Linked DNA regions of Caenorhabditis elegans. The protein of the gene in region 2 interacts with the protein of the main gene of each other region in a pairwise test. Each region holds a gene or a part of one and is shown on either strand. Other genes may lie near its edges.

What was found.
Region 1: the proteins of F43B10.1 (region 2) and F49F1.9 interact in a two-hybrid assay, tested with the Caenorhabditis elegans proteins (one large-scale study listed by BioGRID).
Region 3: the proteins of F43B10.1 (region 2) and C11E4.6 interact in a two-hybrid assay, tested with the Caenorhabditis elegans proteins (one large-scale study listed by BioGRID).
Region 4: the proteins of F43B10.1 (region 2) and nhr-23 interact in a two-hybrid assay, tested with the Caenorhabditis elegans proteins (one large-scale study listed by BioGRID).

The regions. Positions count from the first base shown.
Region 1 is NC_003282.8:4,136,302-4,139,110, forward strand, and holds F49F1.9 (Galectin), read right to left. Parts: upstream 1,272-2,809; 5' UTR 1,267-1,271; coding exon 877-1,266; intron 790-876; coding exon 547-789; 3' UTR 516-546; downstream 1-515. Other genes in the region: F49F1.10 (Galectin), read right to left, coding at 2,107-2,373, 2,441-2,809.
Region 2 is NC_003284.9:16,651,489-16,656,335, forward strand, and holds the start of F43B10.1 (EF-hand domain-containing protein), read right to left. Parts: upstream 3,024-4,847; 5' UTR 2,996-3,023; coding exon 632-2,995; intron 1-631.
Region 3 is NC_003284.9:9,608,765-9,616,592, reverse strand, and holds the start of C11E4.6 (ANK_REP_REGION domain-containing protein), read right to left. Parts: upstream 6,031-7,828; 5' UTR 6,018-6,030; coding exon 5,893-6,017; intron 5,846-5,892; coding exon 5,506-5,845; intron 5,316-5,505; coding exon 5,085-5,315; intron 4,570-5,084; coding exon 4,221-4,569; intron 4,106-4,220; coding exon 3,791-4,105; intron 3,743-3,790; coding exon 3,431-3,742; intron 3,383-3,430; coding exon 3,254-3,382; intron 3,016-3,253; coding exon 2,495-3,015; intron 2,073-2,494; coding exon 1,902-2,072; intron 1,832-1,901; coding exon 1,609-1,831; intron 1,504-1,608; coding exon 1,373-1,503; intron 1,249-1,372; coding exon 1,103-1,248; intron 1,048-1,102; coding exon 804-1,047; intron 320-803; coding exon 185-319; intron 142-184; coding exon 1-141.
Region 4 is NC_003279.8:7,214,929-7,221,730, forward strand, and holds nhr-23 (Nuclear hormone receptor family member nhr-23), read left to right. Parts: upstream 1-1,855; 5' UTR 1,856-2,033; coding exon 2,034-2,101; intron 2,102-3,857; coding exon 3,858-4,249; intron 4,250-4,389; coding exon 4,390-4,481; intron 4,482-4,527; coding exon 4,528-4,601; intron 4,602-4,647; coding exon 4,648-4,768; intron 4,769-4,834; coding exon of another isoform or gene 4,835-4,840; coding exon 4,841-4,932; intron 4,933-4,976; coding exon 4,977-5,532; intron 5,533-5,578; coding exon 5,579-5,860; intron 5,861-5,934; coding exon 5,935-6,024; 3' UTR 6,025-6,300; downstream 6,301-6,802. UniProt on the Caenorhabditis elegans protein: Orphan nuclear receptor. Transcription factor. Modulates expression of target genes, such as Period protein homolog lin-42 and microRNA let-7, by binding to hormone response elements (HRE).

The DNA.
Region 1 (2,809 bases), on a different chromosome or scaffold from region 2:
ATCAGCTAAGAACTCTGCCTCTCTTCACCCGCGGTTAATGTAGATCTACGTAGATCAGACGCCACGTGCCCGCGTAGGCCTTCCACAAGGGCGCTACTCTCGCCAAACAGCACCGCCCTTCTCTGTTGTACACAGCTATAGTGGCGCGAGGTCCCGCGTAGCGTCGGCCGCAGTTCACAGAGTGTGTTAGTGCGGGCGTGGTGTACCTTCTCCTTGCCTCGCCTTCGTGGAAGGCCGTATTCTGAGCTATAGCGTCGGCCAAATAAATATGCGTTTTTTGGAAAAATTAAAGAAAAATCGTCAAAATTGGACTCGCGAGATGTCGGGCACTGTATTTATTGATGTCATTGATATGAAATTTTAAAACATGTTTTGTCGCGTGGAAAAAATTATGAGCAACAGTTTGTTAAATGAGCTTTTCTTGCAGAAAGCTTTAGTTTCAGAGTTATACTCATTTGAACATTTTTGAAAAACCACCAAACGCACTGTACAAAACTGCAAATGTTTCAACAAACTGGCAACAAATCTTTCATTCAGTTAAACAAATTATCTAGTAACTTCAATTTTCGAGATAATGACATTTCCGGAGAAAACGACGTATTGATAGTTTCTCGATGGATTGGGAGTTCGATGATTGTAGTTTGTGAAGAAAACCTGATTGACATAAATCTCAATATGCGTTGGCTGATTGATCATAGTCACATTGAAATTAGCACCAGCTGGAAATGGGTTTCCACCATATGTGTCACCGAGGAGGAACTTTCCATTCAAATGACGGGTTCTGACAACCTGTAAAATAACGAAAAATGAGATATACATAGGATGCAAGGACTGTTTTTTAAGCAACATGGCCTAAACATGAGGGTCTAAACTCACACGTCTTAAATCAGGCTGTGACGCGAAATGAAACAGCCACTCCTTTTCTCGGTCCAGGTTAATCGACCATCTACCTCGTCCAGGAACACCATAAAATCGGAGGACCTTGCCTGTAGCCCAATATCCTCCAGGAATCGGATAACGCACACCGGGCCCAAATGGCCCATGAAGAGTTTCCATGTTTTCTACTGGCTTAGGTGTTGGCCTGGGTGGCCTTGGGGGCCTTGGGGGTCTTGGAGGCCTATGCCGCCCACCACCACGTCGCCCACTGTAATCATCGGAGGAATCAGAGTAGGATCCTGAGCCATAATATCCACCACCGGTGTCGAGTACAAATCCAAAAAGCACTTCCAAAAATGTGAATAGCAGAAGAACATGTAAAAGCCTCATTGGAAAGGAACTTTTAAAGATTTGGCGGAGATGGAAGCATGTTTTATAGCGCTTTTTGCACCTCTACCACGTATTTTTCATTGCGCGCGGCAATTTTTAATGCATCTCTGTTCAATTTTCAATTTTTGTGGGTAGAATTCTAGAGATCAATGAACAAAACATTTTATTTTTTGCCGTATAATTCTCCAACTTGAATGCAAAAGTTTCGTATTAAACTCATCAAAAACCTGCTAAAGTTTATATTTCGTGATAATGTTTTTTTTTGTGGAATTTGATAGAATTTGATAGTTCCTCGATATAACCGTCAATACAAGAAATTGCTACGACTCGGATAAGCCCATTTATTATATTTGTCGGGTATTATGTCGTTCTAGTTACACTCGTACAGTGTATATTCGCTTTTGCTTTCACGGTAATTTGCTTGAGTTGTTCAAACAATTATAAGTCAAATACGATAACCACACTCTTGATAATGTCCTAACTTTGTTATGAAATAAATTTCAGCAGCTGACATCCGACGGGGCTCAGAGTCTGATCCAAAAAAATATTGCTCACATTATAAGAACTTTTGTCAAATCTGACTTTGGTTATGAATGTTTCATATTCTGTGTAATGTTTCCTAGTAAACTTGTGACAGAACAATAAATTGCAAGATGTAGAAGAATCTGTAAAAATTATTTTCCTATTGAACTTTGTTTCGTGAAAACACCTAGTTCCAAAGTCGTGGGTCACTTAGCCAGTTTAGTCAAAATACAGTCCCGTCGGAGCTGCTGTAACTTTTTTCGTAACAAAGTTATGTGACATCTTCCATATCAGACCTTGAAAAATAATTTCAAATTTCTACCAAATGCAACAGAATTCTTTATTAAAGTTATCGTGAAAACTCCACTTTCGAGATAGAAACGAATTGGAAATCGATAGATAGTCTCTGGATGGATTGGAAACTCGATGATTGAAATTTACAAAGAATGCACCATTGACATGAATCTCGATATGCGTTGGCTGATTGACCATAGTAACATTAAAGGCGGCATTAGCTCGAAATGGGTTTCCACCATATGTTTCACCGACTTGCCACTTTCCATTCAAATGTCGGGTTCTGGCTACCTAAAAAACTATTGATGAAGAGGGGCCGAAGCCTGAGAGGCGTCTAGCCTACAAAAGCAAAACTCACAAGTCCCTTGCTAGGCTCTACCGCAAAGTGAAACACCCAAACTTTTGATTTTGCCAGGTTGATGGTCCATCTTCCACTTCCAGGTATACCATAAATACGCATGATCTTCCCAGTATCCCAATATCCTCCAGGAATTGGTAGAGTGGTTGTAAACGGCCCATTGATCGTTATCCAGTCGTCTCGTGGCTTAGGTGTTGTTACAGGTTTTGAAGGCCGTGGAGGTCTTGGAGGCCTATGCCGCCCACCACCACGTCGGCCACTGTAATCATCGGAGGAATCAGAGGAGGATCCAAAGCCATGGGATCTTCCACCGTTGTCAAATAAAATTCCAGAAACCACTACCAAAAAGGTGAATAGCAGAAGAACATG
Region 2 (4,847 bases):
TACTTTTCAACTACTCTATTTCGAATTTTATTAAAATTCTGGAATTCCATGACAAACAAGGCAAAGTTGAAACAATAAAATTCAGCGAAAATTGACACTTGTGTTTACACTGAATTCTTGAGAATGGACGTCATAGAAATGTGTATTCGTTTCCGAAAATGTCCAAAAACAAAGCAGAAAATTGTTGTGAAATTATTTAACAAATAATTTGAAAGTTACAATTTTAATGAAAAAAAAATTTCATTGAAATGATCACCTAAACTAAACAGAGATAAGGGAAAAACTACATTTGGAGTTATAAAAACATGTTATTTTATACTTTGGAAAGGTGCAATTCTCAGGATTGACGTAAGTATTTTTTGGTGTCTGAGAAAAAAAAACCAACTAATAGAAACAGCAATCAAAAATCGTCTCAAAATAGAGCACACGTTCTAAAAACTGTCATTTCTCTCGAAAACAAGATCCAGAATACTTTTTCATCTCCGAACACAAGCCCCGATAGTTTTTCGCGGTTGTTTGCACTATTCCCACATGATTGAAAGTACACTAACAAGATTTTGCCAAGCAAAACCCCACAGTCTCATAAGAAATTGAAGATCAGGATTTAAAAAAAGAACTAAAAAATACTCACGTTTGATTTGAAGTCGAAAATCGAATGGGTCGCAATGTCGTGTTGTTTAATTGGCTGCTGCTGATACTGTGGACGGTAGTGATTATGTTGCTCTTTCCCAAGGTAGGACTGGTGGTTTTGATGATTTTGCAGTGGTTGATGATTCTGATTCTGAACCGAATGCACTTGAATATGACGGATTGGCGGTGTCGGCGACGAGTGCTGATATGTGCTGCCCATGTCCACGTGAATGACTGGTTTGGCACGAAACACCGCGCTCCGTGGACTCATATTGCCATTGGTTTGCGGTACAGCTTTAGCGGTCGCCGCAACTGGTACATGCTCGTTGTATTTGACGGTTGTGGTCGAGAGTTGCACAACGGGAGTGCCTGGTCGTTTTTCGAATTCTGTGATCCGAGAGGCAACACTTCCGGTCGAGGGCACCGGGAAGTTCGGTCCGTTTCGATACATGGTTCGCGAAATTTGATAGCCAGGAGTATGAATTCCAGCTAAATGAAGTTGTTCTTTCACATTATGCTTCGGTTTTGGATGCGGAAGTCCTGTTGGAATCTGATACACTGAAGAGCTCTCGCTGACCTCATCTGTTGGGGATGGAGAGTGCAGCTTCCGGTGAAGTGACAAAGCAGGAGACTTAGACACCTCAATTGGTGGGGGACTAAAAGCGTGTTCACCTGTTGGAAATCTACCGCAACCTCCAACTCGTCGGTTTAGAGAATCATTGTGAACAACAGGTGCAGGTGACACGGATCCAAATGTTGTTCCGCCAAATGTATTTCCACGAACAGTTCTTGAGAGTTCATTTACAGCATTATCCAGTTCATTGAAACTTGGAATTAGGAAAGAATTTGACGGAAAAGCTGGATTCAATGGAGTTCTCGGCTTCTCGGTGTATTCGACGGATGGTTCTCTCATCAGCTCAGCTTTTCTTGCAGCAACTCCTTGACCACTGCCAACTCTCTGAGTAAACCTTTTTTCAGTGTCGATTGGTTCTTGTAACATTTGAAGTCGTTCTGCTGCTGTTAAACTTGTTGGAATTCTCTGAATTGTTGGCGAAGAAGGTCTCGAGCTGATGGTTTGACTCCAGAAATTATCCAATGCTCCGGATTTTCTTTGTTCTGGAGCTTCAGCTGCTCTTCGTTCAACCGCTCTTCCAAGAAGCGAACTATTCATTTCATAGTTACTTGAAGACTTTGAAATTGGCAGCTGTGCTCCACGTCGTGGCAAAGTCATTGACCCAGTGGTCGTAAAAGCGGATGGACTCAACAAGTCATCGCTTTCCAAATTTTGAAACCGATTCTGCAACTGTTCAAACGATTTGCTCCATTCTGATGTGCTTCGACTCATGTTGTCATCAAGGAGACGTTGAGCAATAATATCCAACTGATCCGTGTCGTGAAACACGGGTTGACGAAAACCTCCGGACGACGCACTTGAGGCGAGTGCGGGTACTCCGTTGTTGTAAAATTGATGAGATGAAGAGGAAGATGGCGGCGGCGGCGGCGGTGGATGACGATGAAACTCAGATCGATTTTCGAACGGGTGCGCCTGTTGCTGCTGCTGTTGCAATGACGACTCTCGTGGAAGTGGCAGAGGAGGACCACCAAGCGAACTTGAGTGCTGATATTGATGCGGGGTAGAGTTGTGGTATTCGCGATGAAAAGTAGAAGTTACCGGACCGTTCGAGGTGAAGGTTGTTTGCACTCTTTGTTGAGACGGATATCCGTTTCCGTTTGGAACCACGTTTTGATAAACCGAAGTTGTCGATCGAACACCGTTTGGGACTTCTTGGCGAATTGAATACTCAATTAGTGGAAAGTTAGATTCGGACGATTGATAGGTATACGATCGTGTCGGTGGAGCCCGATCCGTGTGAATTCTGTCGATATAGGCTTGCACGGCTGGTGAGTTTTGCACAGAGTGCTGTGCAGACGGGTAACGAGAGAGTAAGTCGAGAAGTGCAGAGCCACTGGCTGGCGATCTTTCGCGAAGGTGTTCCGAGAAGGAAGAGGGTACTGACAGGTTATGTGACGAGTGGTACTCTGAATGTGACGACCAGGGCGTGGTTGAAGCTGGTCTTCGTTGTTGGGACGGAAAGTTCACTTCAGCAGTACGAAGTGGTCCTTGATTCCACGGCTCTGGAATGTGATCCTCCGAGATTGTTCTCGGCTGATGTTGAAACGCTGATCTTCGATTATCGGCCGACTGCGACCGGAAACGAGTAGTTTGGGGGTCGTTTTCAGCACCAAACGTGGTTGTAGTGGCCAAACCACTGCCTCCGTACCGTAACGATTCCGATGGAAACTGCACTGACGAGGACGACGGCTGGTTGAATCTTGCGAAGTAGTCGTCGTCAAGATGGTACATTTACCCTTTGCTCTCGCAAGTACTGAAAGATGTCCGAAATTGGAAGAGAGATTAAAAGAATGGCGGGGGAAGAACAAAGAAACGAGATATTTTGCAGGACAACTGTTGAGTAGGTGGCAGCAAGTTGGAGCAAAAATGCACAAAAACATGGAAAAACGCAACAAATCAAACAAACTTGAGAGGCAGAGTGAGAGGTAACAAAGGAAAAAAGATAGGATCATAATCAAATTTAATAGAGGAAGGAGGATTGATTCATAATGAGAGGAAAAATACTACTTAAAAAATTTTTTATTTGCATTGCATTTTTTATTTATAAAATGAACTTGAACCCACTGGTAACTTAAAATAGAATTATATAATAGATCAGTATCTAGCAGGTAGCAATTAGTGGGAAAACATAGATTGAAATGAAAGTGCGAAAAAGAAGAAGAATAGGAGTGGCCTGAACCAGCAGAAACTGCAGATTGAAGTGATTAGTAATAGTAACAACTTTTCCTTTAGGAGGAGCGACATATTTTGTAAGAAGATTTGGAAAAGAAGATGTGATGAAAGAATGAACGATAGATGGTGATGATGATGAGAATTCTGAACATTAATTCTACGAAAAAGGTTGAAAGAGCTCTTAGAGCGGAGTTTTTAAGCTAAAAAACCAAAACCACTATTCAAAAATCTAGATCCTAAAAAACTAGAAAAGCGGATACGAAAAAAAGTGGGAGGATAAAAGATGAAACGATGATCAAGCGAAAAAAGACAGGTAGTAGTGAGCGAGTGCAACCAGAACGTCGGCGGTAAAAAAGAAAAAGAGACGAAGCAGCAAGAAGAGAAAATGAAAAAGCAGAAAAAGAAGAAGAAGAAGAAGCTGAATGGTCTAGAAGCCAATAAATTGCGAGCCCCTCGAGAAGACTTTCGAGGCGAAAGCGGCGACGAGCCGATAGAACACTGGTATTGTTACAGCGGGTAGACGGGGCTCCCGGCGAGAGCGAGGGAGAGAAAGAGATGGAGTATATATTTTCTCGAGGAGAGACGGAATACGTTTTTGCTTTCATTTCAGAGGTCCGTCCTTCTACACTTCGACGACCCCCGACAGCTGTCGCTAGATCGCCTGCTCTTTTTCTCTCACTCTCTCGATGTATCATTATCGGGCACTCGTCAAGTGCAATCCGTGGTCACCTAATCATCATTCCTTTTACGTTTCACTATTTTTATATTGAACGGGAGAAATATTAAAAGCGAAGTTTAGGAATGGAAGATGACGGCGGCTGAAAAATGACTGAAAAAAGGAATTGATCCTATGGAGTTCCAAAGCAAGTTTCATTTTGTTCAGTAAAAAACTTTCTGGAGGACATAGTTTATGAGACTGAGTTATCCTGGAAACAATGCAACAATCTAAAGAATAAAAGCAATCATAATCAAGAGCGAATATATTTACAAAATTTGGTACTTGTGCATTAAAACCCCGCATTTTTAAAATTAATTAAACTTCCATTTATCTTCCGATTCTGATAAAACGTGATGTTCATTTTCCCTGTTTAGGCTTAGAAATGATTAAATGTTTATAAGCCGAAAAATACAAAAACTCGACACGTTTTTATTTAAAAATTCATTTTTAATATGAGGGATTAGAATACAAGTACCTAAAATCTTATTTCAAATTTTTGCAAATTTTTGTCATTTTTTTTCAAAATTTCAGTGGAATTCTTCTTAAAAACAAATCTAGCTGAAAAAAAATTTGAAAAAATTCGATATCATTTTGTTAGGAGTTCATAGGATACATTTTCCAAATATCTAAATATTTATTAGAGAAGCAAGTATGATTTTTTGGCAGCACTCAACGATTTTTCTGTTTGGAGTT
Region 3 (7,828 bases), 7.0 Mb from region 2:
TTAATTTCTTTGGTTCTCAGTAGTTTGCTGACTGTTATGCCGGCATCGTACCATTGTTCCTTCGATTGGCAGAGACTTGTCCATTCTGCTTCTGAGCTCAAACATCATTCCGATTGTGGTGATGATTTCTGCGGCAATTCCCTAGAAATATGAACTTTTCTAAGGCATTATTTGTGCGAAATACCGAGGTCAGCACACAGAAAGTGTGACAAAAGAAACGATTTTCAGTGTCCCTTGCAACAAAGCAGAAGAAGTTGAGATCCTTTCTATCCTGACATACGACTCTTATTGTATAGACACCATAGCCGTCAAGTAGAGTCTAAAAAATCATTGAGATTAATCGGGGGGCAAGTTTGTCAACGCTTCGGATTTTCTAATCAAATTAATATTGCGGGTGGTCTTTTGTGGCCTACAGCTGATATCCGATTGCGGCGAATTTCCTAGACTAGTCAAAAAACGTCTCAACCTCTAACGTCTGCTGAGAAAATACAATTGATAAAATTGATAAACACAAACAAAATATGAATTCTCGGTTCGAGAAATATGATGTTCTATTTCTAAAATCCAATTTCCGAAATACCATACGATTAAAATATCTTTGTGTTTTTTTCACATCGTATAAGTATATTTCATAAGTAATCAGATTTTATGAAATACTTTCACGTCATAACTTTCCTGCAACGAATGCAGGTGTATCAGTCGTTAAATTATTGTTTCCCGACCCCCTTATTCTTTAACCGCTTCTCAGTTCTGCTGAACTTTTACAATTTGTCAATTCCATTAGGTGATAATTTAATCATTACCTTAAAAGTTTCATCGAAGATAGTGATTCCATTGCAAGTCAAATCCAAAGTAACCCGTGGAATAGTCTCCCAGTCAATTATCGACTCTTTGATTCTTGTCATAGCTGCATGAGCTTCATCAGAGCATTCGGTTTCTCCAATTTCCAGAACACCGAGGTGGTGTGCACGATACACCACGTTGCCCTGCAGCAACTTGTTCTTGATCTTGTCAAAATCGCCTTGTGGGCATTCAGCACAGTTGTTTCTGAAACTTGTTGAATGTTTGTTCTTTTGAAAATTATTTCTCATTAAAAACTTACTGTTTTGACCTTGGCGGCAGAGGAGGAGGTGACATTAATGGCTTAATCTGTAGTCGATTATTGTACTCTTTTCTTTTTTCGTCTTCTGCTTTTTTGAACGAATGGAGCATTCTAGCAATGTGACCAGGACGAGTAACACCGAGTTGCTGAAATTAAAAATATGCAACAATTATCACAGGTCTATGGATATTTTTTGATTAATAAACGCGAAATCAGTGATAAAAAGTATCTTAAAATCACAAAAGTTGTTATTTGAACAAATTTACTCACCATCAATCTTGCCGTGTCCCAGTCAATTTCTGTCAATTTTGCCATATGCTTGTATCCTGCACCGACAAAGTTGGAAATGTAATCTTGAAGTCCGATGAAGTTGAGCCATTCACTAACATAGAAGAAACGTCCTGGAATTGAAAAGTGATTTGAAAAATTGATGAAGGTTTCTTAAAATGTTCCGGCAGAGTAAATGTGTTTTATGAATGTGTTTTATGTTTCAAAAAAAAACCAACCAGCACTAGCAACATCATCCTTCAATTTCTCAATCTCTGACATTATCTTGAACTTGGTGACGTCATCTACTCCGATTTCCGTAAGGATACTTCTATTTATTATCCCTTTTAGTTGATCCATTCTATCATATCCATGAGTTTGAAGAAGTGCTCCAACTGAATCAGCCGCTACTGGGGCTAACATAACATCACTTTCCAACCACTCAATTATTGTTTTTGGTTGCTGAAACATGAACAACCGGTGTAAAACGTGACATGAATGGAAGTTGAAACAAAAATGTAACTAAAAGTACCTTTTTTACAAGAAGCGACTTGTGATCTCTGAACTCATCCTCGACAAGTGTTACGCTCAACGCTTTCGACCCACGATCACGTAAGTAAACTGCCACACGTGGCTCGTATTCACGAACAAAAACACTTTCACGACATGGAGCTGCACCAAACGAATCGAATACACTTTCCACCTGTTATACAAAAAATTAACAAAGTTTCACTGACACTTTTTTCAAATTTGAAATTATAGAATTGACATTTAAATCGTTTTTTGTTGTTTAATGCTGATAATCCAAAAACGCACAAACGTTTAGGCGCTGCCGTTATTTTTTACTGCGTTTTATTCCCGCTACCCAGCTTTGCAAATACACAAAAAAGACTGACCTATTACAGTTTTTCTGGCTCTGTATTTCAAATACACCGTAAGAATTAAGCCCGCACAGCGAGTGCAGGTTTTTATCATTAAAAAAAACTTCTGATCTGTTTTTCTTTACATTAACAATAGCTGACTATTGAGAAACTGTTGAGAAACATAAAATCCGTGTGCTTTTTGCAGATACGCCATTGTTACGAAAAAATAAACAAAAATTGGTTTGTCCCCTGATCGACTTACCCTATCCCAACTAGGTTCTTCACTGGTCGTGTCTGATTTCTGGTCTGATGAGGGGGACGACAAATTATCTGTGGGTGAAAGTGAATTCAGCATAAGGTTCGTTGTTCCATTTTGACGGCGGATTCGGACAGGCTCTTCCGGCTCAGTGAAACTGCTATTCATCTGCACCTTCGACGTTGATTCAGTGCTTCTGTGGCTCAAATTTGACGATGACGAGAATCCAGAGAAGAAATCAACATTTGTAGAGTCAACCAGCCGAGATTTTCCACATAACGCGTCAAAGATGAATGCTTTAGAGGTGTTTGGGGAAGGTGGGCTCTCGGCAGAGTTTGATGATGGTCTCATCACGTCTTCTAAAAAAATTGCAGTCACATTGTTGTCTTTCTCATAATTCCCATTTAGATGTTGATTCGCATTTCCTTGGCTGTAAATGACACTGCCTGTCACTGAACCTGTTATTTCTTCTGGCATTGCCAATGGTGCACGGCCGTTATCACGTTCGCGTTCCCGGAAGAACTTATCTGAAATTGCATTTATTTAGATTGACTTCAGGACTCCATAAGTTTAGGAAATGATTTTTTCCTTGTCATTGACCAAAGTTTTTTTTCAGAGTTAACAAGATACCGAGCATGAGATCAGTGTTGGAAGATTCGTTTTCTCATAATCTACCCGAACTTATCAACTCGTACATCATATGCTAGAAATTTTTTAGGTTGTCGTATGCCCCTAAATCATTCCATTTTTGCTTAAAATGCCTACCTTTGTCAAGTGTCGAGCACGCGTATGTCAAGGATGATGTTATGCTGCTTGCTCTGGTGTCCAGTCTTGGACTTTGCGTCAATCCCAGCGATTCTTCACGATCACACGTAGTTCGGGAAATAGAAAACTCTTAAAAGTCTTTATTTTATATTAATTAGAGTCGTTTCCTATACTTACGGTTCCGATTCAATGACCTATCCATTGTTTTGTCTGGGTCTTGAATAAAGGCGTCATTCAGGTCAGGACGACCATGATCTGGAATTCTTGGAGAGTAGGTGGCAAGTTTTGGAAGTGTTGCGTATCCGGATTGTCTACGGAGTGATGCAGATCTTGCTATTGGTGAGTTGGGGCGGACGAATATTGCAGAGTTGTTCGGAACGTTGTCATATGGTGCTGGCGGACGATTGCTAATGGTCAGTTGACTCTTTTGCCATTCATTGAATTTTGAAGGAGAGTTGTATGCACAATTATCTCCCGGGAGTACAGAAGCTGAAAATAAAGTCAATCCGTAAACTCAGAATATCGATAATAGATTACCTATTTGCTTTTCTGTTGGCCTCGTTCTAACATTTTTCAGCCTCGTTGGCAATGTATCGCTGGATCTTTGACACGAATAATGCTTTGAGTGATAACTAGGCGATGTCAACGGGAACCTTCCAGTTCTTGGAGCTCTGTCTAACATGGAACTGTTCCATGTACGATTGATAGAGTGTGTGGTGTAAGGCCCCTCTGATCGAACACTGTTCAAAGCTTCTGTAGAGTCGTCGGGGGATAAATCTCGCAGTCTTGCAGAAATAGAAGGTGGCTGGTAGATGGAATGATTGTTTCTTCGTTGATCCGGGTATACTTGAACTGAAATCGTGAATAACTTTATTTATCATTCAGATTTTGAACTTTGAGCTTAACTCGATTGATAACCGAAATGTTCCTTACAATGCACATATTATTAGTTTTAAAAATAACCCACCGCTTGCTTGACTTGGAAGTGGTTGCCAAATTGCTTCTCTTTCATTGTCACTTTGACTTCCTTCGGTTTCTCTTCCAGAGTCTCTTCTATCCATTCCTTCGATAATTGTTCTACATTCCTTCCATCCTTCCGGATTTTTTACAAAATGGGCGATTTCATTCCTTCGGTTCTCCTGGAGATCGATGATCATTTGGAGCACTGTTTGTCCGTGTTGATTTTTGATATCAGTGTTCACGCCAATTTCCAGCAGAAACCTGACTGCCTCGGCCTGTCCACAAGCAGAAGCCACATGTAGAGCTGTCCCATCTTCCGTAGTGTAGTTAATGGAGAAACCATGTTCACGAAGAGCCTGAAATTAAACATTTAGTACATTTTTCATTTAAGTGAAACAGTAAATTATTTGATTGGGTTTGTTTAACTAAAAAAATCTACAGAACATATGAGTCTTATAAACCTATGATTAAACTACAAAAATACAAATAATAAATAGTAGTGTTTCAAAATATTTACTACAGAAAATATAGTTTTTTTTGTTGGAAAACCGCAAACACCGTGACGCATAAGTGCACAGTCAAAAAAATATCTGTTGAGTGTTTATATTTCAAACTAAACGTTTTTTGGGATGAGTTATGAAAATGAAATCATAAGCATGTTACTATCGAATCTATTTCGAATTTCAAATTTGTAAACATTGTACAAACTTGCAGATTCATATGAAACACGCCTATCAGAAAATTAACCCCGTTTTTTTGCTATTCTCAAATTGCTACCAACATTCACGCAAGGAGTAAACTATTCTGCATCACCCTTACTCTTATACTCAATTCTTGAATAATGAATAGCAAAGTGGAAAAAGCAACTCACTTGCATGCACTCAACGTGATTATACTTTGCTGCAAGGTGAAATGGGTATATGGCCGGAAAGGGCCGTTTTATGTCCGGTGTTCCAACTCGAAGAGACTCATATGCTGACTGCACAGGAAACTTTGGCCATTTTTGGCACAACATTCTGATGGCTTCAGCAGATCCAATGCGTGATGCAACGTCAATCACATTTTCCTTGTTTTCATTACGAATGAAGGGGTCGGCATTTTTCTGAAATTTAAGGAAATTGAAACGATACGTGATTTTTCAAGCTAACAATTGTTAAATCTGTCAACAATTTAATCTCTATACAAGAATCAAACGTCAAACGCATTGCAAAATTGAATAACTTATTATAGATATGAATGTTGTTCCTGTTCACAGTCGAATAGTTTTAATTCTCAAAGTTATCTTTGCTTACCTTTATCAAATAGAACACAACTTCAAGATGACATCTCTGAACTGCAAGATGAAGTGGAGTTTCATTGAAAATGTTCACTGCATTCAGAATATCTGCGGGCTTTTCCATTGTTTGTAAAAGAAGCATTTTCACAATCTCCAAGTTCCCATTCCAGGCGGCCAAGTGAATTGGTAAAATATTTTTTGTACTTTTACACAGTAAAAGAAGTGGTTCGTAGTCCATAAGGAGTTTACTGATTTGATTTTGATTCTCGAGAACCGCATGATGGAGTAAGGTGAAGTCAGATTTTTCATCTTTGTAGTCGGCGAGCCAATGACTGTCTGATCGCGTTGTGAAAAATCTGAAAAATATCAATAGTTTATTTGAAAATTAGAAAATAAGTATTACTTCAGCCCGCTTCGAATCTTTTTGCCCTTTTTCGAGCTGAGAAACAACGCAACTTTATCATATTCTCCTTTTTTACAAGCATCGATTACTTCGGTTTTTGATATGACAAAGTCTTTGAGGCTCATTTCATCTGAGCTCCTGTAAAATGATCGATTCAGAATTTAATTTAGGACAAAAGAGAAAGCAGATGTTCATGTCAAAAAACAAAAAGAAAAGTAGGAAACAAAAAAGACGGATAGAATATAGGAGAAAGAACAGATTTTGTGAACACATATAGTTTTTTGTCTTAATCTTGTTTACTTTCTCTTTTTGAGATGTAGTTGTATTTTGCTACTCAAGGGGTCCACAAGAAGTAGTAATGCATAAAAAGATAGGAAATGCGAAATATGTAGAAAAAGGGAGTGTTGTAGATGAAAAGCAAGGGGGTCCCCGGGTTTCCTCCCGCGCGAAGAATGCCTCGTAATGTATTGCATTTTACTCGCTTTTCACCAAAATCTCGACAAGAGTGGTGAAAGCAGGGTGATGGGAATAGGAAGGGCGCAATGTGGATGGCCGGTCACTCACAACTCCACAAAACTACACATTCTTTTCTCCTCTTCTTCTTTGCAATTTTTGTCGGTCTAGGAGTGCATTGGATGCAACAACAACAACAAAGAATATAACTACAGCTAATACTACTAATGGTCAATGTAGGAAAAAAAAGTTTAATAGTAGCTTATGGAAAATTGAGTTCGAGTTGTAGTCATCAAGGATATTCTTAGGTGAAAAATTATAGTGAAGATTTTCCTCATATTATCAGCTCTTTGCGAGTTTACATCTAAAATGTACCACTAGAACAAGATACCTTTTATAAACTGCAATGGCTCTCACGAAAAGTTGTCGGATATGTTCTTAAAAAATGATAATTATAGTTTTAACGAATTTCGTGTCAATTCTTCAACAAAAAAACATAGCGTCCAACAATTTAACTGAATTACAAAAAATAAAAATAAAACATGATGGTGACAAAACACTTTTCCAAATTTGCCAGCTGAATTAATATGAATTCCATTTAGAAAATTATTACTTAATAGCTATAGTCAATATGGCAACATTTTTCAAGGTGATTTTAACCGATTTTTCCTAATTTAAATAATTCAGCTGTTTTACATGTTAGAATCCTTAACTTCGCTGAATAAACTTTATATTCATATGTACTATGATCAGTGATGGGTGCACATTACATTTAACTTCTGACTAAGAAAAAATTTTTTGAACAAAAACCAACTCTATGCATCTGAGAAGGTTCTCCTCGAATAATCAGATAAATTCAATTAGAACTAGTGAGCACATGCGGAGGAGGCTGTGCACTTTTCAAAATAGCCTCAAACAACAAAAACATAATAGCACAGGATACACGGTCGATGCTTAAATTGAAGTTAATAATCGTTGACTTAAACATATACGACAAAAAAGATAATGACATGCTGCAAATCGAGAGGAAAAGAAAAAGAGATAAAAGCACTTATGAAGTGCAGTAAAGGGAAGATAAAGGGTGGAAATTGAGAGGAGAAGGTGGAAGGAAGGAAGAATGATAAACCCGTGCTGTTAAGTTGTAATAAGTGTTTCCAACGTGTTGCATATGTAGGTGAATAATAAACACATATCACTTCAAACATCTAAAATTGCGTTGAGGATTTAGTTTCCAATGTGATTTAAAAAAAAAATTGATTATTTCTGCTCACTTTCTACAGAAAAATTGTCCTTATGTTAATCAAAATAAAAATTAGACAAGTAAAAATTGAAAACCACAAATGTATGAAAAATGTTATCAAAAAAACTATAGTGAGGCGGTTCAGATATGCGATTTCGTAGTTTTCCAAATATTTTATATTAAATCCCCAAGTTCGAAGTTTTAAAAACTGAGATTTTTCAAAAAACTTTTGGAACTGTTTCG
Region 4 (6,802 bases), on a different chromosome or scaffold from region 2:
CTACTGACCGGCCGGGTCACTTGCGTTCGGACGACGACATGCGAGGTAGGTCATCTCACGTCTTCTTCATCTTCTTCTTCTCTCGAAGATGTTGGTGGAAGGAGAGAGAAAGAGATGCAAAAAAACGGGGAAGGGCATGGCCCGGCGACCGGACCCGCTAACCCGGTCACCCCGTTTTCGGCCATGGCTAACCCAAAAAAGATTCATTTTTGCCGATAGGACAACAATTAATTCAGTAGTTCGTTTCAAGATCCATGATCCAGGTTCTAGGTTCCAGATTCCAATTGAAAGGTTTCAAAATGTGTTTGTGTTGTCTAACCAATGTTTACCATCTATGTTATGCACGTTCCACTGTTATCAAGTCTATCAAATTGATCAAAAATGCCTATATTTCACGGTCACTCTGCCATTGCCCCATAGTTGGACGAGATAGAGACCACCACCTTCCTCTACCGTAATACTCTTCAAAATGCCCTTTTGAAAAGATGAATTGTGAAGGAGGGAACAGCCCAAAATTGAAGAAAGAATCGACATTTCAACACTTTGAAATGATGTCGTAGTTCGTTTTTGGCTTCTTTGTGTGGATTTTGATTATGTTTCAGTTTTACAGTATCTTATACGCTTATAATTGTTTTTTTTTGGACTTTAAATTATTTTTACCATCACCGTATTTTTCTTTTCTTTAGCGCAACTTAAACTTATTTGCTTTTCCTTTCTGGTATTATACTGAGTTATTTATTATGTGATTCCTATTTATACTGTAGTTTTATTTATAAACAATTCCCGGTTCCTCCTTTGACACTTGAAACTTCTAGTTTAAAAAGTCTCACAGTACTGAAATCCATTACTCTACTTTGTCAATTTATATCTGGACTAATTTTACAAATATCAAAACACAGTCAACTACGAAGCAATTTGTGAATTGATAACTTTTCGATGAAACAAAATGAGATATAAGCTAAAAAGGATATGAACAATGTGGCTCAATTATAGTACGGTATCTATTTTGCACCCAGTACCAAATAAATAGTCGTACCCAGTAAATGGAGCACAAAAACCATGCTTCAGATTTTCGTGCGCCCTTTTTCATTTATGAGAAGATTCGTTTTCCCATTTTCTGTCGGATTAATACTGATTTGAAAATTTCAATTTTATTACTGTGTCTATTTTGCAAAAGTTACACTTTTCAGTTATGGTATATTTTGATATTTGAATTGTACTATTATTTTGTTATAACTCAACATCTTGAAACTGTGCAGGATATTAAAAATACTTATCGAATGGTTTTTTTCTTATTTGTGGTCGTGTTCTGTTCTTTTCCGAAACCACATTCCCTCTTTTGTAGATTAAGATCAGTATCTCAAAAAGATCTCTGATTTTCTCTCCCTCTTTCTCGCTTTACTTCTAGATATTTACTTTCACTATTTATTTTATACATCTAAATTTATTATGTAAGGAGCACTAAAAATAATTTTCTCCCCCTTACTAAATTTTTCCTTATTGGTCATAACTTCAACTCAATACGGACAGTCTTTATGGCCCGCACGAGTCAGTACCAGTGCGGCAGTTATAATAAGTATTAATGGTATCTCATCTCCTCATCGAGTTATTATTCCCAATTAAGTTCGTCTCACATCTTGACCTTGAATTCAGTTTTCTTTATTCCCCTTTTTAAGTTTACACTTACTATTAAATTGCAAAAATCTTAAAGCACAGCTTTTTGGTTTTTTTTACTTGAAATTACATTCTAATTATCTCACACAATGTACTTTATCAGTGACTAATGAGAGTGGGGGTAAGGGACACCTTTTCCCGTCCAGCCGCGTGTCACCGAAAACCGGTATTCTCTACCATTAGGTGGTCACTGTCGGTACCAGGTGCATGTTCTCGCTTCGATGGTCTTCAATGCAACATTTCAATGGTCATTTCGAGAGTTTAGCCAAACAACATCAAAACCATTTTCACTCATTTCGAAAATCTTGAAAAAAGGTTTTTAAGAAGATCAGGGGTCAAGGCACATCAGAGCGCATGGCATGGCCTGTAAGGTCACTGGCCCAAATCGGCACCTCACTTCAGTTCTCGAAATGTCATCGTTCGTGTAGTGAGTTGTTTTTCTGTTTACGTGGCACCTCGGCGGGTGTCCTGAAATCTTTTGATCTAACTCTAGACATTTGAAGCAATCCGTAATGTTCTAGCATACTGTAGGGATGTTTCAATTCAAAATGGAAGTTTCGAAGACTATCTAAGATGGCTGAAAGTTTCTGAAATTTTGCACATATTTTTAACCAGATTTCGGGTGTTCTTCACCGTTTTTGCCATCAAATTCACTTTTCCCAGTTTTCCGCGGCGGTACCATCACGTACTTGCTGTGTATACGTCTCCGTCTCTCTTTTGTCGTTTCGCATGATCAGCGGAAAGTACAATTTACGAAATTGCAACCTCCCGTCGTCGTCGTCGCTGCCGCTGCCGCCACCACCATCATCGCAAACCACGTCGTCTATATCCTGCCTCACACAGCGCGACGACGTCGACGACGCGGGGTCCTGTCACCTCCTGGCGGGAGGCATACCGTACCGTTCGCGCGCAACACACCGTGCACAGGTACCGAGGTCACTTCTCGAGATGAAGAAATAGCGCGGAGACGTACACACAATTGTCTTCTTCATCTTCTTATTCCTACGTCTTCTTCATTTCCTACCTTGTTTCTCAGTATTCCCATATCCTCCATCGTCACCGTCTCTTCATTCTTTCAAAACACTGTAATTGTTATGAGAGGAGCGGTGAGATGGGGATAAAGTTGAGAATAGGCAGGAAATGAAGGATGAGCGGTATGATGAGGAAATATGAAATATGTTGCGAATATATAAGACCTGATAATTGTGGTCCTAGGAAACGAGGTTGAAAATCGAGCCGATATAATAAAAGAGTTGGGGACGACGAGATTTTTATCTGAATCAGAAATGAGTGATGCTATTCGAAGTGAGATTGATATAGATTTTATATTCTTGCCGTATACATTTTCTGATTAAAATTTATGCACAAAAACATAAAGAACTCCCGAAGCATATTTCTCTTGGCGGGTTTTCGTCAAATTTTTCATTTAAAAATACCAAAAAGCTGAGCCATTTTTTTTGCGTTTTAGGCGAGACATTAAAATTTCCAGTTTCACCAAATTTCTTTTGAAGAATTCCATTTGCAAAACAATGCAAAAACAAAATTTTTTTGTTTTTTTTCAAATATTTGAACTTCTGCGTTTTTAATATTTATAAATATTAAAAACGCAGAAGGTACGGTGTGCTAAGAGTGTTTGCGGACTTTAGTTCATTTTATGTCGCCTACCGTAGTCCGCCTCGCTGATATTCGTTTTTTTTTAAATTCATTTTTGACATAAATATTTTGTTTTCAACCATTTTTCTCAAATTTAAATTTAGAATTCGAAAAAAATCTTACTATTCTAATCTAAAATATGCAATGATTCAATTTTTAAGGCTAATTCCCCCCCCAAAAGCAAATAACAATGAAAAAAAATGTTCAGCAGGAATTTAAATATTTATTTTGCGTGAATTTTTTTCCTAACTATAAGCTAGTTATTATGTTTAGATTATATCTTATTGATAAAACCTAAATAATAATAATAAGTCACGTTAAGATCCACGGCTGGTTTTTGTTTCGAAATTTCAATTAATTTCAATTTATATCCTCCAGTAACTAATAGGTGAGTTTCTTAAGCTCTGCGATTGCATGGCATTTCGTAAAAAAAAAACGTTTCGCAAACTGTTTCTAGACGTTCAATCTTTCCGCGTATCCTATCATTACTCGCTTAAATTGTAGTCCGCCTTTCTTGATTTTATCTTCAGCTGGCCTCGATCGCGACAACAAGCTCACAATTTTCCGATGCAAGCTGTAGAGCAGAAGTTGGCTGATGCAACACGAACTCTTCATGCAAAGTCATCTCTTCAACCATCACTCTCAATTGAAACTCCAAAAAGCAAGGAAAATGATGAATCTGGATGCGAGAGTTCAAATTGCATGTTTCATCCGCATACGATCAAATCGGAACCAAATTTTTGTTTTGCTCGGGAGTTTAAGTCAGTTCCCGATGATTTTCGTATAGGCGGCGGAGATCTTCAAATGGGAAACAATTCCAAAAGATTGACATGTGTTATTGATACAAATCGAGTCGATATGGCCGGAATTCTTCCTGATAATATGAGCTTCCGGGGACTTCCCGAAAACAAATCTCTTCTGGGTATGCACGTATTTTTTGTTCATTGTCCTACTAACCTTTAAAACCCTTGAAATTTGGAATTTGGAACCGAACTCTGAAAAAAAACACTCCAAAATTGTGATAAACTGAACTTTTTAAAGATTCTAAATTTACTTTTTCAGTATCAGCGCAGATAGAAGTAATACCATGTAAAGTGTGCGGTGACAAGTCGTCTGGCGTTCACTATGGAGTTATCACATGTGAAGGCTGCAAGGTATGCCTTTTTACCAGAATTACTTTATTTCTTATACATTTTTCAGGGCTTTTTCCGACGCAGTCAATCATCCATCGTCAATTATCAGTGTCCGAGACAGAAGAATTGTGTTGTTGATAGGTATCTCAGTTAGGAATGTTACAGAAATTTAATATCGTATTTTCAGAGTGAATCGAAATCGATGCCAATACTGCCGTCTCAAAAAGTGTATTGAGTTAGGAATGTCACGGGATGCAGTTAAATTTGGACGAATGTCAAAAAAGCAACGAGAAAAAGTAGAAGATGAGGTATTTACATTCCCAATTCTAAACTTCGTATTCATGTCATCGTTTTTGTCTGTTCAATCCTTAAAGGTTCAGGTTCGAATGCATAAAGAATTAGCTGCAAATGGTCTTGGATACCAAGCAATTTACGGCGACTATTCCCCTCCACCATCCCATCCCAGTTATTGGTAATTATCACCTACATTTTTCTGTCATGCAACGTCATTTTCAGCTTTGATCAAAGTATGTACGGTCATTATCCATCTGGAACTTCAACACCTGTTAACGGATATTCTATAGCTGTTGCTGCGACTCCTACGACTCCAATGCCACAGAACATGTACGGAGCAACACCATCATCTACAAATGGCACACAATATGTTGCACATCAAGCCACTGGAGGAAGCTTCCCATCGCCACAAGTTCCAGAAGAAGACGTTGCCACTCGCGTTATCAGAGCTTTCAATCAGCAGCACAGTTCCTATACAACACAACATGGAGTTTGTAACGTGGATCCTGATTGTATTCCTCATTTGAGTCGAGCTGGTGGTTGGGAGCTCTTCGCTAGGGAGCTCAATCCGCTTATTCAAGCAATTATTGAGTTTGCCAAAAGTATTGATGGATTTATGAATCTTCCGCAAGAAACACAGATTCAATTGCTGAAGGGAAGCGTTTTTGAGTTATCACTCGTTTTTGCTGCTATGTATTACAATGTAGACGCGCAGGCAGTGTGCGGTGAAAGGTATTCTGTTCCATTTGCATGCTTGATTGCCGAAGATGATGCCGAGGTATTTATTTTCATAGAGTAATATCGGCTCATACTCAATGTTTCAGATGCAATTGATCGTTGAAGTTAATAACACTCTTCAAGAAATTGTTCATTTACAACCGCATCAATCCGAATTAGCTCTTCTTGCCGCTGGACTTATTCTGGAGCAAGTGTCTTCTTCTCATGGAATTGGGATTCTTGACACTGCGACGATTGCCACTGCAGAAACACTGAAGAACGCGTTGTACCAAAGTGTCATGCCAAGAATTGGATGCATGGAAGACACGATTCACCGAATTCAAGATGTTGAGACAAGAATCAGACAAACAGCTCGTTTGCATCAAGAGGTATTATTTGCTGAAGCTTGGATATAAATAATCTGGAATGCTTAATTTTGAGGTTATTATTTTTCTATTTACAGGCTCTTCAAAACTTCCGAATGTCTGATCCAACATCATCTGAAAAGCTTCCTGCCCTCTACAAAGAGCTATTCACTGCAGATCGGCCTTGACTGAATCCATATATCATCAATAGTTTTATCCATGCTCTCCTTCCCTATCCCCGTCCATGAATCTCGTTTCCTCCGGTTATTTGTACAATAAGAGTAGACCAAAGCGCCGTTTGAACCCAACGACACCATTTTCTTTCCTTCTGTGATTTCCTTTCCCGACATTCCCCCCAAAACCCCAGTCGTTTCCATGTTTTATCAGAAAATTAATAGAAAAATAATTGTAGTCGTCTGTTGCAGGAGAGTTCCTCATTCTTTCTCTCCTTTTCCTGTTTTTAAAGTGATTTACTCGGATCTTCTTTACTTACTTGTTCTAATTTATTAATGACTTTTGTCACCCCCCCCCCCCCCCTCGTGTACCATGTACAATCATGTTGCGTTCCATGTTTTCTTGCATTTCATGTTCAGTAAAATTTCTGAAACCATACCAATCTCTCTCTTGTCTTATCATTTCTCTTCAGGTATTGATGCCTCTCCCCATCCCATCCCATACTCTTTTCGTGATCAACACGGGTACAAAACCACAAATTTCCATTTATCTGGATTTCTAGGCGCACTAATTTTTATTTTATTAAATATCTCCCCATTTATTGCCTTTTAAAACTCGTATCATTCCAGTGTCTGCGCTTTAATTACGCCTTCTTACCCATTTGATCCAACCATTTTCTCGTTTATGGTGTAGTGGTCGCTTGAGTGTTTCCATTGTTTCATGTAACATCCTAAATATGTTTCATTGTCATCAATGCATTCAGCTCCATACACCGACTTTTTAATTTATTTC